Linked DNA regions of Arabidopsis thaliana. The protein of the gene in region 2 interacts with the protein of the main gene of each other region in a pairwise test. Each region holds a gene or a part of one and is shown on either strand. Other genes may lie near its edges.

Region 1 (6,304 bases), on a different chromosome or scaffold from region 2:
ACCTACCTTATGGCCAAATTGAATCGATGATTTGGAAAAATTTATCATTTGTCCCGAGACCGCTTCATATTGTTTTAAAATACCCAAAATTACTCCGCATTGTTCTTTATTAGCTTTACAAAAGAATAAACTATCATTCGCAAACAACAAATGAGAGACTGATGGGCTTGCTGTTGCCACTTTGATACCCGTAATCAATTTTTCTTGCTCTGCCTTTCGAATATTTGCAATGAGCACCTCTGTACATAGGATAAATAGATAAGGAGAGAGTGGATCTCCTTGTCTTAAACCCCTCTTTGGGACTATTAGTCCTCTAGGTTGTCCATTAAGTAGGACCCTATACTGGACTGTTGTGATACACCACATTATCCACGATATCCACTTTTCACAGAAACCCATTTTCTTTAATAATTCCTCGATAAAATTCCATTCAACTCTATCATACGCCTTACTCATATCAGTTTTGATCGCCATGAATTTTCCTTTACATGACGGATTAGTTCTTAATCCATGAAACATCTCCTGGGCAATAAGAATATTGTCTGAAATTAAACGTCCTTCAACAAAAGCAGAGTGTGTTTCCGAAATAAGACTTGGAAGAATCTTCTTAAGTCTTTGACAAAGGATTTTTGAAATAATTTTGTACCCGACATTACAAAGACTAATGGGTCTTAATTCCGTCATTCGAGTCGGTCGTTCCGTTTTTGGGATCAAACATATATTAGTCGTATTTAACTGTTTATCGAAAACTCCATCTTGTAAAAAAGAGTTAACCAGAAAAAGCATATCCATTTTTATGGTAGCCCATGGTTTTTGAAAGAATAACGCTGTCATACCATCAGGCCCTGGTGCTTTTTCCGGGTGCATCAAAAACAAAGCCGCTCTTACCTCATCTTCTGTAGCAGGTGTCGTTAAGAAGTCATTTATTTGATCCGTTATTAAAGTTTTAACCTCTGATAAAGATTCCGCAATATTCTGGGGATTCGACTTATTAAACAAAGTCTCAAAATAAGACACCGCTATATGTTGGACATCTTTATCCTCTGCAAACCATTTTCCATTTTCATCATGAAGTCCTATGATCCGATTCCTAGCCCGTCTCTGTTTTGTTAGAGCATGGAAATATTTTGAGTTATTATCCCCAACCTTCATCCATAAACTCCTACTTTTCTGGTACCAATATTGTTCTTCATCTATATAAGCCTCCTTCAACCGTATTGTTAAATCCGTTATCTCCTCACTTGTTCTCGAATCATCTCTCTGTGCCGCATCTATGAACTCATTTTTAATATGAACTATGAACTCATCTTTTATTGCAGTAGGGAAAACTGATCTATCCTCGTGTGCTATTGATATGGATTATTTTTGTAGTGGATCACTAACCAAGTCCTACCAGCTCTAACCTGCTGTATGCAGTCTGACGCTTGTTCAAGTAGAGTCACTATGTGTCTATGCTAGTCCCATCGACAGGCCTACTCTGACGCGCCTAGAGGGAACGAGCGGCTGGCTTTGGATCTAAAGAGCATAGGGAAATGTTTGAATCTACAGGTCAGCTTCATCTTCTCTTGTTTTCTCTGTTTCAGTTCTTGTTCAAGGATAAAAACAGAGAAACGTTGGATAAAACTTCAAGGAACTTAAAGAGATATAGACGTGACGTAGATGGAGAAATATGAGCTGTTGAAAGTGATTTTTCCATAGTATTACATAACATTTTCACACATTTATAGTGGAAATCAGAGAACTAATCACTGCTCTGTTCATAACTACATATTTTCAACCTACGCTCTCTTATCGTGTTTAAAACCAGTCTTAATGTGTGTCGCTATTTTCGTGTTCGTGGTTGAAGCCAAGAGATAACAAACCAGTAATCGAAAAATCAACATAGTTATAATACAAATGTGCAGTAGCAATGCATCACTTTTATTTCATACGAAAGATAAAAACTTTATTATGATGCAAAGAGTTAGAAACTGAAATCAATCAAGCAGAAGCTACAAGACCACCATGCTTCATCAGCTTCTCATTGATCTCATCTTTCGCAGCACCGACAACACGATCAATGATGTTGCCTTCTTTCATGAAAACAAAAGTAGGCATTGCCTCAACTTTGAATTCCTGAGCAACAGCTTGCAATTCATCAACATCGATCTTGAAGAAGACAACATTAGTGAACTTCTTAGCCATCTCTGCAAACACTGGTGCAATGAAACGGCAAGGTGGACACCATGATGCTGTGAAGTCTATCACAATCTGGTTTCAATCAAAATTTCAGAACAAATCAGAACACAAACATCATTCACCACTAAACTAACTAATCAAGAAAACCCTAAACCATAACGTAATCAAATCAAATTGAAAAAAAGCCCTGGACATAACAAGAGAAAGTAAAGTTTCTATAATTTCAGACCATATCAGGATACAATTATCATTCACCACTAAGGTAGCTAATCAAGACGAACCGTAATCCCTAAGTAAAGTAATCAAATCAAATTGAACAAAACCCTAGACAGGACAAGAGAAAGTTCTAGCTTCTATCAATTTGGGACCACCAGAGCAAGATATGGGACAAGAACGGGATCAAAAGCAACCGTTTCTCGAACATCATTCACCATTAAGCTAACTAACCAAGAAAGCCCTAAACCCTAAGTAACGTAACCAACTCAAATTAAAAAACAAAAAAAACCCTAGACAGGACGAGAAAATACCAGTTTCTATCAAATTTCAGACCAAATCAAGACATGGTACATGAACATGATAAAAACCAAGGTTTTGTATCTAACATGAATTACCAGTTTACCACTAGATCAAGAAAACTGAAAACCCTAAGTAAAGTAATCAAATCAAATAGAAGAAGAAACCCTAGAGAGGAGAAGAAGAGAAAAGTACCAGTTTCTTGGATTCATTGGCGTCTTTGACCTTCTCGTTCCAAACTTCGAGGGTATGGCAAGCAATCACTTCTCCTTCACCGGCCATTTTTATTATTTGTTCTTAAGCTTTTAAGAGTTTTGTTTGATTGATGAGTTTTTTTTGGTGAATGAAAGAATTATTCTTGTTGGGATCAGCTTTTATAGGCAAGACTTGACCACCTATACCTCTACCTCTTCTCGGTCTTTTTTTTTAATTATTTTCCTAAAATGAGTTCGATCTTGACGCGTAGGAGTGTGAAGGGATCCAACGGTTTATATTAAACGATTAAAGAATAGGCATGAGTCTAGGTCAACGGCGTGATGATGGTAACGAGTAACGACAGTTCTAGATGTAGAAGACACGCATGTTTTGTGTGCACGATATATGAGTTTATCCGTTCTTTTCTCGTCCTTGCAGATATAAAAAAGTAACGTTTGTTTTTGTCGGCACGAATATAAGTTTTTTTCTATGTGATAATTTGTGGACTATTCCGAGCTTTTAGACGTGCAAAGTTGAATGGAAACTTTATCTAAGACAATAAGAAAAATATTATCTATAATATGCTAGATTTATGTTTTGAATAATAATGCAAGCTGTTTTTGATCAATCTTCTTTATTCCTCTAATAAATCAAATTCTAGTAATGTTCTTTCACTAATGATAGAACCGAGAGCTGGCTGTATGTGTGTTTACGCTTTGACACTAATTTTATTCTCAAACGACGTCGTTTTAGACTGATTAACAGTCACTAACGGATAATAACGGGTTTCTAGGTTCTATTAATTACTGATAAAAACATGTCTATTTTGGTCAGGTCAACGAATTGTTCATATCTTAAATGGTAGTCAACGTTTAGTTCATGTTTTAAATGGCCAAGTTGATGTTTAAAATGACCACAATTTAAAACTTGACTAATAAAGTCGTTAACAGATGATAACAGACGTTAGAAGTTCCGTTAATAACTGATAACATCATGTCTATTTTGGCCTGGTCGACGAATGATCATGTTTTAAAAGTTAGTCAACGTTTAGTTCATGTTTTAAACGACCGCATACGAAGTTGACGAATAAAATGGCCATTTTTTGAAAGTTGGGGATTAAATAACATTTTTTCCTAATTTTTAGTCAGTGTAGGTTTTATATCCTTTTTTGTTGGATGATTATGTCTTGTGCCCTTCCATTCATACGTGACTATGATGAATGATATCAACCTAGCACCACATAAAATGAGCTTTTTCAGATACAGTATTTCCCAACAAATTAAAGAATCAGAAGTACAAAGCAAATCTATCTATTTTATTATTTTCATACTAATTAACCTTTTTCACTGGTAATCTAGACATTGTTAGAGTTTTCTTGTTATGTTCTTTTATTATTAACTTAGGGCTAACCGAGAGTGTTTATAGATACTAAACGATCTGGTTACTCAAGATGGTCTACATGTGTTGTACACTTCTCCTCGCAATACATCGATCGGTCTATGTTCCAAAGTGTAGCGCTCCGGCCCCGTGTACACCCCTGTCTTCTCCAATAGCCCCATCGCTTCCTCTCTTCCGTATTTTGACTCATACAGCTTCAAGTACTCATAATCCTGATTCATTCTCCAAATAAGCCAACTGGAACAGTTTTTCGTTGTTATCTGATTGGTAAAACTATAAAGTTGACGTACCTGTAAGCCACTAAGAAGGCGCTCTAGCCTAAGTGAAGCAACTGGCTCTGAAGAAGATGAGAAAACTTCACCGGGGTAGTAAAGAACTCCATCACCAGGAGGAAGACCGCGCCTAAACTTTACCTATTCATTTGGTTATATAATATCATGAAGCAATCGATCAAGAAACATTTACAACAGAACTAAGGATAAGAAAATAACCTCGGCGCTTGGAACCGTTGCCTTCTCATAGCAATTTGCACCCCAGTACAAGAACCCGGTTCCACCTTCTTTCCACACACGCCACATCACTGCCCGTTGCTGTGTACCACGCATCCCCAGATGCCAATTTGGGTGAGGATCTGAAGGTCCAAGGCATATGTATGTCCACCATTCCTGCACCAGCAAGAAAAGTCCTCTTTATGATTCTTGTTGCTAAAATGCTAACACATACAGGACCACTAATGAGCACATCATTAAGATGACCTTGAATCAAATTTAACCATTCCATAACTACAGTACTTTGATCGACATATGATGATTCCATTACTACCAAAGCTAGATGTATTCATGTACACGTGCAAACGTTTTCAAAGCTTATGATAACTAATTAACTATATTGACCAAACTCTAGTCTTTATTTCTATTCAGTTAAGTATACTTCAGGTGTATGGACCAGACGATTTCAAACCTCATTGAGAATAACATAGACTTGGGTCAATGGATAATATTCTCTAAAGAAGAAGTAAAAGGGTTGATGGAGATCTGAGAGACCCTACCTCACCATTCTCTGTCTGCAATTCGTCAAGAATATCCTTCACCAAATCCTCCCGGTTACCAAGCACCCACTCACTGAATATCAAACCATGATTTAACAACACTGAGATAAAAGATTAAAGTAACGAGAGCCTAGTTGAAAACAGATTTCTCTATAAGTTCACCAAATTCATCAGACTTTCTTAAATCATAGATTCATATACTAAACTCACCTGCCTCCATGTCTATCCAAGTAGGTGAGTGGCGGAAAAGGGAAAATTTAAGACCAAAGACGTATTTGCTCAAAATATATTGACAAAGGAAATGATTTTTTTGTTAACTGACAGATGATATACAATTTATTCTGAACCAATTAGGTGTCTTTTAATAGGTATAAACACAACACACATAGTACACCCACCGGATATTAAAATTAAAGATTGGTAAGGTTAAGATCTTGTCCTCATTAATCACAAAACCTAAGTAAGAGAAGGCAATTTATTTGAATGATTAAATTACTGCCACCTAAGAGAATTTGAATGATCAATTACCTTGTGCAGTATATCTGAGTATAGGGTCGAAGGAGATTTGGAACTTTGACAAAAGATTCAAAAGGTGTCGGAGCAAGAGGTGCATCTCCCGGTCCTACAAAAAAAAAAGAGTAAGACTATTTGACTAAACTTCTCAAGTAGCTAAAGCATTGTTAAATTATGAACTTTAATTCATAGTCACAGTTTAACCTAGTAGATTTCAGTTCCCTTTTCACCAACATACATGTATGAATATCCATAAGCTCTGTAATGAAGCATATGATACAACTACCAGACCATTGTGAAAACTGCTTACAAACTAACGTTACCCAATAAACTAATATTATGGGCTGCATAATAACATAGTGTGGTATACTGATCAACCTACTGATACAAACTACATTTATGGTTCACCATTGACCAATTTTGGAGCTCATATCAACAGGAAGACAAAGCCATGAGAAC
Region 2 (6,938 bases):
CTAATTCTTAAGACAGAGACTTTCTCGATCAAACGAAAAATCCAAGCTTTACCCTTTATTCAAGAACTAAAACCCAATGGAGACAATACACAATTTCATCAATTTTGAAACGGAAATGAAGGCAAAATTTACCAGAAGTGGGAAAAGTGAGTGGAGAAGTGGAGCAACGGATGACAGAAACCCTAAATCCACCGCCGCGACGGTCGAAGGAAGGCTGGGAAGATAAGCTCGTAGGCAAAACAAAGCCTAGAGTCCTTGTTGCCATGGCCATGTTGTTTTCTCTGGAGGAAGAAGAAGATCGAAGAAGAAAACGGCGTCAAGGTTTTTTAGGGTTGGTGGGTCGATAGCTCTTTTTTTGAAATTAATTCGTTGTTATTATTACAGTATCTTGCTTTGACTTTTGTTGACTTTTTTCTCTAGTAAATTTGGTCACATAATCATAGTTTTGTTGCTAAATAAAAAGGGATGAAAATCATAGTTTTGTTTATTATAAAAATAGAATAAAGTATCGAATATATGTCTAAATTTAATATTTAAATAATTATATATATAAATAGATTTTATATAAATTCGAAATAGAATAAATATAAGGTTAAATAAAAGTAAAAAAATCATATATTTATATTTTAATAAGGTAAAAATGTTTTAGGATATTAGTAATTAAACGAGTTAAAGAAATATAAGATTTAAGATAGAATGTTGCTAGCATTCTATCTTGATTTTTTGAAGACTGATTTCAGTTAGAATTGTGGCAACAAATATGAAGATTCCAGTACTTAGGTCATATGGTAAAATCACGCGAATTCTTAAGTTTTACAAGATCGAATTCGGTGGTTCTCTTTGTAACTTGGCTTTCTTTGCTTAGAAGCGATCCAAACCTTTTTTAGTAGTAATGTTGTATTTATTTTTCTGTAGATTATTTTTATATGTATTTTGTAATCTTTGTAATTATGTTAAAAATTAAAATTGGTATAAAATTTAACTTTTTAACAAAAAAAAAAACAATCTGAAAAAAAAAGAAGAAGATAAAGTCGTCAAATTGGTATAAAATTTAACTTTTTAACGAAACAAGAATTTGAAAAAAAAGAAGAAGATAGAGTCGCTCTTGCAAGTGTAATGATAGACTCGTGTAGAGAAATTAGCGGGAACAGAAATATAAACGACGCATAATTAGAAAGTATAAATTAATTAATTTTGTGTCACATATGGGCCTTTTATAAATTAATATGGGCTTGCCCAATGAAAGACCATCTCTCTCACTCACACAACCACACTCGTAAAGATTGGTGTGATTAATAATGGCGCTTTCTCTCAGCCAGACTCGACCACCAAGCCTTAGCCATAGCCATACCCTTAGCGTCATCGTTCCTAAGAGAACGTTCGTTTCGATCCGATGCGGTCCACGAGACAACCGCGGACCACTTCTCAAAGGCCGAATCCTAAGCACCGAAGCAATCCAATCAATCCAATCTCTCAAACGAGCTCATCGAACCGGTGTCTCCCTCTCCCTTACCCTCCGTCCTCTCCGCCGTCTCATAAAATCCGATCTCATCTCCGTCCTCCGTGAGCTTCTCCGTCAAGACTATTGCACACTCGCTGTCCATGTACTCTCCACTCTCCGTACAGAGTATCCTCCTCTTGACCTTGTTCTATACGCAGACATTGTTAATGCTCTTACGAGGAATAAAGAGTTCGATGAGATAGATCGTCTTATTGGTGAAATTGATGGAATTGATCAAAGAAGTGATGATAAGGCTTTAGCTAAGTTGATTAGGGCTGTGGTTGGAGCTGAGAGGAGAGAGTCGGTGGTTAGGGTTTATACCTTGATGAGGGAAAGTGGTTGGGGGTCTGAGTCATGGGAGGCTGATGAGTATGTCGCTGAGGTTTTGAGTAAGGGTCTCTTGAGACTAGGAGAGCCAGACTTGGCTTCTCAAGTCTCACTCAAATCTTCAATTCTAAAACCTTGAATTTTCGGGTTTTCGGTTTGGTTTGGTTCGGTTTTTGATTAAGTTCATACACTTTTGGCAAAGATTGCACTATATTCTGTTGCTATGGTTAGTTCTTTCGATTTGGTTCGAGCTGAAATCAATTCGGGTAGCGAAAAATTTACGAAATGGTTCATTGCGATATGCGAATTGGATCGGAAGTAAATAGTTTATGCATTGAAATGTTGTGGCGTTTACAATGATCTGTTTTGAAGATTTTAGACATATGGGGTAAAAAATTGTTTCTTTGATTGTTGTAACCCTTGAGCACTGACTCTTACGGGGCAGAAACTCTTGGATTCGAAATGACTTCAAGAAATGAGTTTGTATTTGATTTTGACGATTAATGCAAAGAGGCCATAAGAAGGAAGATGCAGGAGTGCCACCAACAAATACCTGCAGATGCATGAATTAAAATATTAAGGATAGGCGTAATCATTCTAAGGAATGAAACATTATGATATAAACCAATCCTGACTAGTGTCTAGTATGTAAATGTTTTCAAGGCTTACCACACTGGAGCCATGTCTAATGACAGGTTGAGAAATGGATATGGCCACCTAAGTCAATCGAGGAATACAAGTGTAAGATTAATCAAGACGGTAAGTGTAACATACAAAAGATGACAGAGAAGAGTTTTACCCAACGGAGATAAACATGTGGAGAATCCACTGGAAAAGAACGAAACATCCTGTCCATAAGATGAAGTAAGAGAACCTGAACAATGGAAATTTCTGCAAAGCAACATCACAAAAAGACCTCAGGTTCAACACATTAATGAAAACGAAAACTCGTCGTAAATGCAGAGGAAAGAATTGTTTTACCAGACGGTTTAGAAACGTGTCAATAAGCAGCAAAACGAGGTTGCTTGTGTGCAAATTCACAGTCATCTGAAAACACAGAATTTTGACACTAGAGAAGTTGAGACTAAGTTCAAGAGGGTCAAGTGCAACGTAGAAAGTGCCATCAGCAGTGTACAAGCTTTAACTAATATACGGTAAATGGCGCGAAAACTTACGAAACTCATCTCATAGTCCTGTAAAGACAGAAACGGGAAAATCACGGTCCAATATATACTGTCTGTAAGCACAGCTGCTCCAGCACCCATCTGTTTTTCAACAAACCAAAACACACAAGTATCAGTGATCATATATACACTAATGAAACAAGAAATCTGAAAGTTGCAAACTATACATCATAATAACCAAAGGAATCTGTCTACCTGATATATAATCTGGAAGAGATGAACATATGACTTTAGTGCTTCCGAACCAGAAGTTTTTCTCTTCTCGAACGAAACCATGTTGTCACCATCTATAAGAGGCGAACGAAACCCGTTCTCTGCATCGATTCCTACTTGATCAGCGATAAGTCCAGTGTTCCCTTGCTTCTTGTATTGTAAACATCCATAAATTGAAAGCAATGATCCCATCTACACAACACACAAGTGACAACAAACATTCAAACAAACTTGACTATAACCATATACATATTCACAACATCAAAAATCAAAACATACCCCGAAGTAGATTGCTATCAAAGTGAATGTCCACCTACCAATCAAAACCTCAATCATATCAGTCTCAAAACATCAAAGATATTCCCTTTCCACACAATAAAGCAGAGATCTTTAAAGAGAACTTACTGAGTATAATAGTAGTAAATACGCCATCCACGATTAGCAAACCGGGCAATATTGTTAGCAAGAAGGAAACAAAACCCGAGAACCCGAAAACCCAACAACCAACCCGGATGGATTCGTTCAAAACAAGGTCTCCAAACATCATCAATGCACAAAACATCATTACCATTAAGTGATGGTTGAGTTTGAACTGAACTATCTTCATACTTCCATAAGACTAATAAAGAAACAATCATTGGAACTATTACCCATATAGCACATAGTAACACTCTCCAATTAAACCAGTAATCAAAGCTGGTGAATTCCAAAACATTCTCAAGATTCATTTTTTTTTTCTTGTTCTCTTGTTGATCCGTCTGAATATTCGGATCTTTTAGATCCGAAACTCAATGGGATCAACACCGGACTTGAAAACCCAGATCAAAAACTGTCTCTGCAGAGGAGTTAAAAGTAGCTTAATTGATTTACATATAGAGATATTAGTGTTAAGATTAAGTAGCTTTGATTCTTGATACTTACGTTATGTTAAGAGAAATGTAGAAGCTTGTCCTTGTTCTTGTTGTTGTGTGTGATGGAGAAGTCAAATTGAAACTTGGAAGGTGATGAGATATGAGATATGTATAAATCTGAAGAACAATCCAATGGCGGTGTCAGAGGCCCACTGGAATCGGAGAACACAGAGTGGAGACAAGGACAGGTGGGACCTTCTCCGTTTGTCCAACGCTTAGTTGCCAAACGACGTCGATTTGGTTTCGTGTGTATTTTACTTAAATAGGCCTAAATCACAAATCTCATATAAATGGAAAGATATCTACAAGCCCATTATTATTTTTAACTATTTGTAGTTAAGACTAAAATTGTTAAGTTTTTTTTCTTTTTTTGTTGGAGGAATTGCACAAAAAGAATAAGAAGTAATGGTTTATTGTATTTGGTTAAGATCTCAATTTTCTATGTAGTTAGTCAAAATATCATTAATGAATATAGATCCCAAAAGTTTTATGTATTTTTCTTTTAGTTATGTATGACTTTTCGAATGGTGATATACAAAACAAATGGAAAACCAAAATATAATGTATACAAAACTCTCATTACGTTTTTTTTTGTTTGTGTTTTGCCTAAAATTTCTGGTATTACAATACGACGGACCATATAGTCATTATGACGGTAAGGTAACAAATTCCAGAAAATTACAATACAACGGACCATACACATATTATCCCATATTACATCATACTAACCAGATATTTTGTAAACAACTAGTACTTTTTTTCTTTAGCATAGTCGATATAAAATTATTCTTTAGTGACTAAATGTACTTGTTGTGGACCTAATGGTCGTCTTCTCCTAACCGCAAACGCAATTACCATTCATATAGTATAACAGAAAATTTAACAATATATATAGATTCTTAATTAAAATGAAATTAGAGAATAACAAAAAAAAAATCTGATAAAGCAAGAAAACCTTCAATTTTTGTTTAGTCCAAAAGAAACCTTCAATTAAACCACAATATATATTACATGTCCAATTCTTCAATTAAAAGCACAAACATAATTTCATAAATAGCATAATTATATAGGTAGATATAATCAAGTTCGACTTGTTTATATTGCACGGTCTAAAGACGACCATGAGCAATCATCTCCAGCAAAGCAATCTCGTTCATCATAACTTCATCACATCCATGCATCACCATCCAGCTATCAGTCATCGGCTCATCAATCTCCATGGTCACACCACTTCCAGAACCAGACGCAGAACCAGAAGTAGACGCTGATCCGGAGGCCGACATAGCCGCCAATGACGGCATCTTGATCCTTCCATCTTCTAAACCCAAGTTATTCACACCATCCACAATATACTTACATTCACCCTCATCATACTCCGAGACCGCAACCATTACATTCTTACCTTTACCTCTCATGTTTCTTGGACCAATGTTTGCGTTTGCATTTGCGGTCATGAAAGGATCATCATTGTAGGTAACAGACCTAATGTAGTTCTGAAGAGTGTTGCTACCAAGTGAAAGGGAAATTTCATCTTTTCCTTTAGTCCTCCTCGAGTGTTGTCGACGTTTAGTCGCGTTCCAATGGTTCTTGATCGTATTTTCAGTGCGTCCCGGGAGTTTTCGAGCTATCTCAGCCCATCTGTTCCCAATCTCCTTATGGGCTTTTATCAGTATTATATCCTCTTCTTCAGTCCATCCATCTTTCTGTAACATACCACATAAAATATGCTTTATATGTAAATAATACATACAATATTAAACAAATATTTTTATTTTTTATATGTTTTTTTCTCTTTTATGTTTGTTGAATTATATGAGAGAATCCAAGTGACAATGACTTTAGTTTAAATGTCTTACCAATTGTGAAGTTTTGTCCGCAACAAGAAGACAAAATGCCTTAAAGAATTGTCATAGACATATATGTATATACAAACAAAAGTTTAAAGTATTCATGCATGAAATAAAACCGTATACATGTTGACAAGTGTGAAAAAAGTTTGTTAATATTCTCTTAGAAGATTCTCAATGTATCATGTAATGAATTTGAAAGTATCGAAGATGATATTTTGTTTTTGTTTCTCCTATGAAAATAAGAAAATGAAAATAAAATAAAATAAGAGACCTTGATATCGGGACGGAGATGGTTATGCCACCTTTCTCTGCACTGTTTTCCAACTCGTCCTTGAAGCATCTTAGCAATCTGAGACCATTTTTTAGTTCCGTGAAGGTCCACTAGCTGCACCAATAACCTAAATATAGGTAGAATCATTAGAAAATATTAATATTAAAAACAATATCATACTAGATTAAGAAAATTATTTATGAGAATTCCAAAAAATTAGATGTTGAATTTACTTGTCTTCTTCAGGAGTCCATTGTCCTTTGATGATGCTAGCTTTTTTTGTGGGTTTACATATCCTCCTCATCTGAAATCTCTTGTTCTTCTTCTTGATCTGCTCGGTCTTGATCATTACCTGGTTATTTTGACGTCGATTCATGATGGTGTCTTCGTTTGCGCTCAAGAGTGGTTTTGGCATATTGAATTGATTAGAGTCCGCCATGGCTTGATTGAGGGTTGACTCGGTTCCAAAGATGAATCCTTGGTTTTGATCGTTTTCCCACATAGTATTGTCATGTGAGACATGTGAAACGTTGGGTTCAATAGTTGGTGGGGTGGTATAGGCCATGCCAAAAAAAACATGGTCGTTGGATGTGCCATGAAAACATGCCTCGAAAGCTTCAGTGCATGGAGAAGGAGTGATGCCCCTAATGGTTTCTTTTGATGGTATTTCATATGTGTGAG
Region 3 (7,874 bases), 9.5 Mb from region 2:
GATACCTGACTTATCGCTCTGATCTTCCGTCTTCAAACGACAACGTCTGATCTCTGATCTTCCGTTTTAAAACGACATCAAGGTGTTACTGTCCAATTTCAGATTGGGTTAGAACATCTTGTAATATCTACAAACTTGAGGGTGTTTTACACGAATATTTCTTAATTAAGAGGCTTAACGTTGGCGTTTTTGACGAAAATGGAGCAACCAATGTCGCCGGGAACGAAGTCGGTGGATCTCCGAGAATGCATGGAATCACTTCTCCGTTTTAGTCTGAGATCTCATTTAAACGAATCTGTTCCAAGTTTCGATCTTGACCTGACCAGAGATTTTTGTCTTCATCTCCTTGGGGAAGCTACAGATTCAACAGGTACGTTTTGCTAATTAGGAAGCAAATTATGAAACTTGAATGCTGGAGAGAAATAACTGAAATTTTCTCATAAATGTTTCAATTAACAGAAAAATCTGCGGTGTACAAGCTTCTAGCAACGGCTTTGTCTGAATGTCTAGCTTCCGAGGGTGATAAAAATTCTAACTTGGAAAAATACAGCAAACTGATTCATGGCTTGGGATATGACTTAATAAATGTAAGTCTATATGAAAACTTTAGTTCTCAACTATTATTGCATCAAAACAGAGTGGGAAAAGTTAGTTTTTGGAATTTTTACACAGAAAAGGTTCTTTGTTTCAGATGTTGAAGGAGGTGAACTTTGAGCTTCATGTCCAAGAGCCTTACTTCACCCAATTGAAAGGTACATTTTCTGGTTACTTGATTGTAGTATTACAATTATATTTGCTCAATCTCACTTTTATTTCCGGGTGCCTCTCAATTTGTCAGATGGTTTGAAAACTGTTGAAGGAAGATGCGCAGTGGGAGACTACATGAGGTCTGATGTTTTTATCTTTGTGCAAATGTTAATTCACATTCATCTCTTGTGCTTGCTTTTCCGGGTTTTCTGTTTTGCTGATTCCAATAGCTTTAGATTGTCTTATTGACTTCAAAATTGGTTTACTCACAGAATTAGTTCAGGAGATTTTCTTTTGTTCAATAAATGCTTGCTGCTTGAAGTTCAGGTAGTCATCAATCTTGTATCTCTGTCAATTCTTCCTTGTGAGGCAAACACTATACCTCTTGTTACTAACCATTTTGATGAGGGCAGGACGTTCACCGTTATACTTCATTCTCAGAAATGCTGAAAGTGGAGGGTCTTGCCAAAGTTCTTCCTGGAGTTGAAAGTATAGAAGAAGGTTTGAAGATCTTTACCATAACATAGAACGTTTGGAAAGCGTCTCTTTTGCTATGTGGACTTTGTTCTAACCTGAAATGATGTTCTATCTGCAGGTGTTCAAGTTTACCGAAACTTTTATTCTGAAGAGAAGGAAAGAATGAACGGTGTTGTAGCTATTCGTGTTGCAAAACCAGCTAATCAGCCTTCTGCAGCTTTGGCAGGAGTATTGTCTGTGAGTTTCTGGCAGCAAGTCAAACTCCAGAAGCTTTCGTTAGTCTTCAATGTATGCATCATATAGCTTTCTTTTCGGTTCTTCTTTTGTAGGAACTGAAGTCCAGTGGGATCAAAAGCCTGTTGGATGAATACACAGCTGGGGTTACCTCGTAGCTGCATCTGAAAACCTTTGTGCGCAGAGAAACTACTCAATTTGAAGGGTTTTGATTTCTCTACACTCGGATGATGTTAAATTTGTGTTTGTTTGTGTGTACGAGTAGCTAAATCACAGAAGATCACATCTTTTCTTACTTATTGAGCACCTCACAAGGCAACAAAACATTTTTCGACGCTTTGGTAGTTATTTAACAATCAAACTAGCAAACAAACACCAACCACATTTACGGACTAAGGCTCAACCAACCACATCTATGTGTATCTTCTAGAGAATCAGCTTCAGTTTGTTTTAGTCTTCTTCCCGAACAGTAAATCCCACGAGTATGTGTTGCCTTTCTTTTCCGCGACCTCCACACGCTTTCCTCCAACCTGCAAGCCGTTCATTTTAATCAAAAGACTGCTTTCAACAGAGTAATAACTGCCCCTGTTTTCTCTTTGTCAGATGTGTTTGTCACATTATAATGGAAACAAAACGACATCTCATACCGGTAACTTTTGAAGAAAATTAATGGATGAGCAAAGTACCTTGTCCATGAGCCAGAAGCCAAGGGAAGGCATGTACTGCACTAGATACATCACGAGTAGTACTGGCTGAAAAACAGTGAAAAAGAAACTTATATATCAGACATCTAAACCGAGTATCACATATGCAATATTTATAAAGATGTACCTGATATGAAATCCAAGCTTCCTTCAAGTTATGAGATGCAGCGATTATAGTCAGCTCTGCACATCGTTCAGATGACACACGTTTCTGCGTAGCAAAGAGAATAGATGCTTGAGAGAAATCAAGTTGAGCAAGGAGCTGAAGTTAGAATCTCCAAATGTTGACAAAGAATATGATTCTACGTGTATCTACAAGGAAATAATGAATCAAGCAATGGGAGAAGTACTTGCTGCTCACAACTTAATCAAATAATCACAATCATAATAAGTACCAACCTCAGGAGACTTGCTGTCTTCCGAAGTTGATGTTCCTGTACCATTCCAGGTTTCTATTGGACCAGGACAAACGACGGTAACCTTGATTCCCTTCTGACAGAACTGAAACCATGCACAGATGATTGTAAACTAACTGTTAGTTTTTGTAATTGATTGTGCTATTTTCAACAATAAAATGTAAATGAAAAAACATAGCGAATCAACATATGAAGCTTATTAAAACTCAGGAGTAGCTGTAAATTTTCACTTGTGATTTCAATAAGTCAATTTCTGCCAACTAATTAGCAAGCACAACAGTTTCTTTACTTCTAACATACCTCAGAACGCAAGCTGTGGAAGTAGCCATGAAGAGCATGTTTTGAAGCAGAATATATAGCCTGTCCAGGTGATGGTACCTTTCCTGCAGCACTGCTTATCTGAGCATAATTGACGTGAATTATTACTCATGACATTTAACCCAATAAAATGGACAATTAGTGCATGATCATAGCCTGAGTTCCATAACATTCAAGCTATGGTAAATACTAACCTGAACGAAACCTTAAATTGTCTATATACCCTAGTATCCTCAGATTTAACATATATAGTCAAGATTCAATACTGTGATTACAACAATTAACTAACATATAAAACGCAATGTTATCCACATATATAAACTATGATATGAAGCTCAATCCTTAAATATAATTCCACAAAATTAACAAAAACTATCCCCCAGTAGTCTCCACGTACCACAACAAAATGACCCCCTCCTTGTTTTAGCATATGAGGAGCTACCAACTTTGTCAGAGATATCGTCCCAAAGACATTAACATCGAATGTAGTCTGCACACAAAATCATAGATTAACCATATGTCAGAAAGAAATATCAAAATCACCCATGTCCTAATTGTTACAGGCTAACTATGGCAATAGAAACAAAAAATACCTTGAGAGTTTCCTCAAGAATTAATAATCTTGCCTACGAATTTTACGCAATTAATTTTAGTACCTTGAGAGTTTCCTCACTTGCATCCGATGCCTTGGATTTCTGCAAGGAAAAGAGTATGATGATGACACCCGCTTGAGTAAACATATCTAAAGCCTAAGACTCTCTATTGAGTAGATACAAAACTTTAGCAAGGAAATTACTTACCGGACGCTCAAAGGCAGCATTGTGAACCAAATAATCAACACCAGCTCCAGGGAAAAGCGACACTGCTTGCTCTACAACATGTTTGAGTGACTCTTCGCCGCTAGCTAAATCTAAAGGCAAAACCTTGACATCTTCTGGTGCAAATTTACCTAGAAGAAGAATACAGAGTCAGTTACATCACGTGTCAACAAAAAGCTCACAATTGTAAACTGGAGAGCTTTCTTTGATTCATTGTGTAAGAAAGTACCTTTAAGCTCACTCTTAACCCGATCCAGTTCAGCTTTATTCCTAGCAGAGAGAATAAGCTTGGCATCTAAACTTGCAAACTGTTTAGCAAGAATTTCACCTGAATCCAATCATAAACATGAAGAGTAAGCAGCCACAATAAAAGTTATCTCTTCACAGATATATAATCCTAAGAAAACATTCGTTACCAATTCCACGGCTAGCCCCTGTGATCCAGACGACCTGAGCAAAACCAAGAAATCTGAATTAATGCTCAGAGATTGAAATAATCGAAAACTCAAATCAATCCCACTAAATTCCATTTTTTCCTCTATCAATCCAGTACCTTGCCTTGTATGGCCTCACGCTTCACATGCTTCTTCGAAATCAAGGTAAAATCTCCTACACAAAGCAAAGATCAATCCTTTTATACATAAAAGAAGTTAAACATTGCATTAGAAATCGTCAGAGTTATTACCATCGGCGAATGCAAATTTGAAGAGCAGAACGATAAGAAGAAGCGCTCCGAGAGAGAAGAAGAGTAGAGTCAGCATTTTCTCGGATTGAAGCAACCAGCGAGAGACCAAGTCTTCTTACCCGTGGGCAAAATATGTTGACAGAAATAAATGTAGGAGTAGAACATAAATTATTAATATATAGGGACCTGTATGCAATTAATCTTATATACCAAAATCTTATTACATCCGAATGCCATTGTTCCTATCATTGTGTTGTCTTTCGATCAAAAAACCCCAAATCTCTGTTTGCAGAGAGGACGAGGAAAGAGAGAGAGAGAGAGAGAGAGAGAGAGAGAGAGAGAGAGAGAGAGAGAGAGAGAACGACTATGGACGCTATAAGGAAGCAGCTTGATGTGCTCATGGGAGCTAACCGAAACGGCGACGTTCAGGAGGTGAATCGCAAATACTACGACCGTGATGTGTGTCGTCTTTACTTGTCTGGTCTCTGCCCTCACGATCTCTTCCAATTGACGGTGCTTACCTTTATATTTTTTCAGTTTATTACTTAGTTGTCTCTTTGAATAAAAAAACCCTAATTTCACTTTTGAGCTAATCTTTTGTGTTTCTGCTTTAGCTCGAATTGATAACTGGTATTTGGTTACTTGATACAGTGTGCAGTTTTGTATCTTATAGAGTATATCTGAATTCTGAAACTTGTATCGCTTCACTGTTTTCTATGAGTATCTGTCTAGTAATTTAGTGCATGGCTACTTTGGTTTGCCTAATAACTGATGCTCCTTTTACATTTCTGTTGTTATCAGAAAATGGATATGGGACCATGCCCAAAGGTGCACTCTTTGCAGCTTCGGAAAGAGTATCCTTTGTTTACAGTAAGTTTAGTATTTACCTTATACGGTTACCATGAAGGCCGCCTACTTCCATGGCCTCTTTCAATTGAATTTGACATTTGAACATACTTACTAATTGGGTTGATATCTGTTTTTTGCTCATGTTTTTGCTCTTCTTCCTGGTTTTTGCTTGAGATAATACGTTAAATGAATGGATAGTGCATATAAGACTAGCCTATGCAGATTAGTTACAAAAAAAAGTTGGTGTCATTGTTATGTTTAGTTTGATTCTACAGTGGCATGTTGTTCTCTTTCCACTCCTGTGTTGCTTTAACTCGCCCTTAGATACCGAGAAGCAAGGGCAAAAGGTGTTGATAACTACGACAGGGAATTGGAAGATGCCATAGACAGGCTTATCGTTGAGTGTGATAGGAAGATTGGTAGGGCCCTTAAGCGTCTTCAAGAAGAGGACGCCAAAGCTGCCATTGCCATTTCTGTCTCTGAAGTCACTCAGGTGATTATTTGATTTTGAAATTTGGTTTATGTGTCTTCTAAGTTTGCAACACTCAGGTTTGTTTATCATCATTACATTGTTTAACTGCAGTCGCCTGAAATTCTCGAGTTATCGGAGAAAATCAAAGAGAAGATGAAGGAAGCAGATATCCACGGTAAAAATTAAAAGAATATTGCCCAGCAAATATTACTTTGCTGTTTCGGCTTTGTTTTTGCAAATAATTCTTGACTGGTTATTGGTAGTCTTTCAAAGTTCTGATGTCACTTTGCAGATCTTGAAGGCAAAATGGATCTTAAGATTAGAGCTCTTGAGTTAGTCGAAGAGATGAGGACCAAGAGAGCTGACCAACAGGTGAATTTGCTTTCGCTATTGGCTTAATGAGCATTTTTGCTTTTTTACTTTACCTATGTCAACTAGAAAGTCCTTTGTCTTGTTTTTTCATGTAGGCGGTGTTGCTGTTGGAAGCCTTCAACAAAGATAGAGCATCCTTGCCACAGCCCGTTCCAGCTCAACCACCATCTTCCGAATTACCTCCACCGGATCCTCGCACTCAAGAAATGATAAATGAGAAACTGAAGAAGGCAGAAGATCTTGGTAAGGGAAATAACCCTAATTTGTGTTTGGTTATTTGTCTATGGTCATCTTAATTTAGAGCTCATTGTAGTGGAAAGTTGAAACTGCTTAAATATCCACGGTCTAGTATTCCCTGCCGGCTGGGAATTTCTACTGGCTAATCTAAGATTTCCTAACCTATAAATTGCTTAAACTGTATATACCTAAGATAAGGAAATTTCTTCCCGTTGTATGTTACTATATCTATGTTAAGGAAACACTGGACTTCACGAAGTTTTATATAGATTGTATGGTTATTTGATATTTTAGGTGAACAAGGAATGGTTGATGAAGCCCAGAAAGCCCTGGAAGAGGCTGAAGCTCTTAAGAAGGTGTGTTCTCTTTCTTATTTCTTTTTCTTTTCCCCCTACTTTTATTAGTCACTAATAATTGTTGGGCCTAAATTTGTTTCAGCTTACAGTTAGACGAGAACCTCCAGCAGATTCAACGAAGTACACCGCTGTTGATGTGCGCATCGTAAGTTACCATCACTCCTCCCAATGATGCCTTAAAGATTCACATTCCTTCTATATTTATCAGTTTGTTTTGGAAAGTACCGTTGAATATAGGAATGACAACAGTCATATATTAACGTTTAGGTAAAGAGTAATAGTTTATTTGAGTAAACCCGTTTGATTGCTTTCATAAAAGTTACTATTTGGACCAAAAGTATAACATCTTCGCATCCCCTGTTTAATGTATCTACACATTGGTTTCATCTTCTAACCTCACTTATTGTTCCTATATCTTCTCAGACAGACCAAAAGTTGCGTCTATGTGACATATGTGGAGCATTCTTGAGCGTCTATGACAGGTTAAGTTCCTTGCTCAAACTTTCTGCATTATTGTTTCCCTTTTGGATTGAAAGAGAAAAAAGGTAGAAATAGTCTTTTGACTCCGGCTATTGTACCTCCTCCTTTCACCAGCAGGCTTTTTGGGCAGGATTACTTTTGCAGCTATAATAAATGTGCGTTCTTTTCTTGATTTTATTGTGCTTGAAGGATCTTACTAGTAGAGATTAACTAATGGAGTTTTTAACGTTATACTGTTTTAATATGCTATCGTCAAATGTTTAGCATTTGGCTATGCTAATTGGAACTTTTGTGATGCTACAGTGATCGCCGTTTAGCTGATCATTTTGGGGGGAAGCTTCATCTAGGATACATGCTAGTCCGGGACAAATTAACAGAGCTTCTGGTAAACTAATAACACAATCTACTTTATCTGATGATGGATGAAACTGCCTTCTTATATTTCTCTTCGTTTACTTCAGGATGAGAAGGCCAATATACGCAAGGAAAGGTTAGGTTTTAGTTCTAGCTTCTTGTTTCATTGTTTTATTACGGTGTTGATTTGAAATTGACTTCATAGTGAATACTTAAAACCATACTTAGATCAAAGGAACGGAACAGTAAGGAGAGAGAATCAAGTAAAGACCGAGAGAAAGAACAAGAAACTAGTCGTGAACATCGAAGAGATTATGATCGCAGGAGTAGAGATCGAGATAGGCACCATGACCGT

The links.
Region 1: the proteins of AT3G27770 (region 2) and TRX5 interact in a protein complementation assay, tested with the Arabidopsis thaliana proteins (one large-scale study listed by BioGRID).
Region 3: the proteins of AT3G27770 (region 2) and AT3G03330 interact in a protein complementation assay, tested with the Arabidopsis thaliana proteins (one large-scale study listed by BioGRID).

What each region holds. Positions count from the first base shown.
Region 1 is NC_003070.9:17,073,284-17,079,587, forward strand, and holds TRX5 (thioredoxin H-type 5), read right to left. Parts: upstream 3,135-6,304; 5' UTR 2,974-3,134; coding exon 2,887-2,973; intron 2,251-2,886; coding exon 1,981-2,250; 3' UTR 1,659-1,980; downstream 1-1,658. Other genes in the region: AT1G45150 (alpha-1,6-mannosyl-glycoprotein 2-beta-N-acetylglucosaminyltransferase), read right to left, coding at 4,332-4,496, 4,575-4,697, 4,776-4,949, 5,333-5,405, 5,861-5,954.
Region 2 is NC_003074.8:10,283,522-10,290,459, forward strand, and holds AT3G27770 (plant/protein), read right to left. Parts: upstream 4,411-6,938; 5' UTR 4,147-4,410; intron 4,061-4,146; 5' UTR 3,954-4,060; coding exon 3,631-3,953; intron 3,539-3,630; coding exon 3,505-3,538; intron 3,418-3,504; coding exon 3,208-3,417; intron 3,094-3,207; coding exon 3,004-3,093; intron 2,876-3,003; coding exon 2,810-2,875; intron 2,720-2,809; coding exon 2,628-2,719; intron 2,546-2,627; coding exon 2,498-2,545; intron 2,382-2,497; coding exon 2,297-2,381; 3' UTR 2,136-2,296; downstream 1-2,135. Other genes in the region: CARA (carbamoyl phosphate synthetase A), read right to left, coding at 133-271; EMB3123 (PPR containing protein), read left to right, coding at 1,299-1,967; MYB118 (myb domain protein 118), read right to left, coding at 5,246-5,839, 6,258-6,384, 6,491-6,938.
Region 3 is NC_003074.8:781,674-789,547, forward strand, and holds AT3G03330 (NAD(P)-binding Rossmann-fold superfamily protein), read right to left. Parts: upstream 4,532-7,874; 5' UTR 4,476-4,531; coding exon 4,400-4,475; intron 4,324-4,399; coding exon 4,268-4,323; intron 4,165-4,267; coding exon 4,131-4,164; intron 4,043-4,130; coding exon 3,944-4,042; intron 3,846-3,943; coding exon 3,697-3,845; intron 3,592-3,696; coding exon 3,553-3,591; intron 3,387-3,552; coding exon 3,294-3,386; intron 2,978-3,293; coding exon 2,879-2,977; intron 2,664-2,878; coding exon 2,562-2,663; intron 2,374-2,561; coding exon 2,290-2,373; intron 2,211-2,289; coding exon 2,145-2,210; intron 1,989-2,144; coding exon 1,899-1,988; 3' UTR 1,659-1,898; downstream 1-1,658. Other genes in the region: AT3G03320 (RNA-binding ASCH domain protein), read left to right, coding at 199-370, 460-587, 692-752, 839-887, 1,020-1,074, 1,161-1,248, 1,343-1,461, 1,554-1,616; UNE6 (LUC7 related protein), read left to right, coding at 4,532-4,912, 5,201-5,253, 5,573-5,741, 5,832-5,895, 6,013-6,092, 6,188-6,335, 6,624-6,685, 6,768-6,830 and 4 more.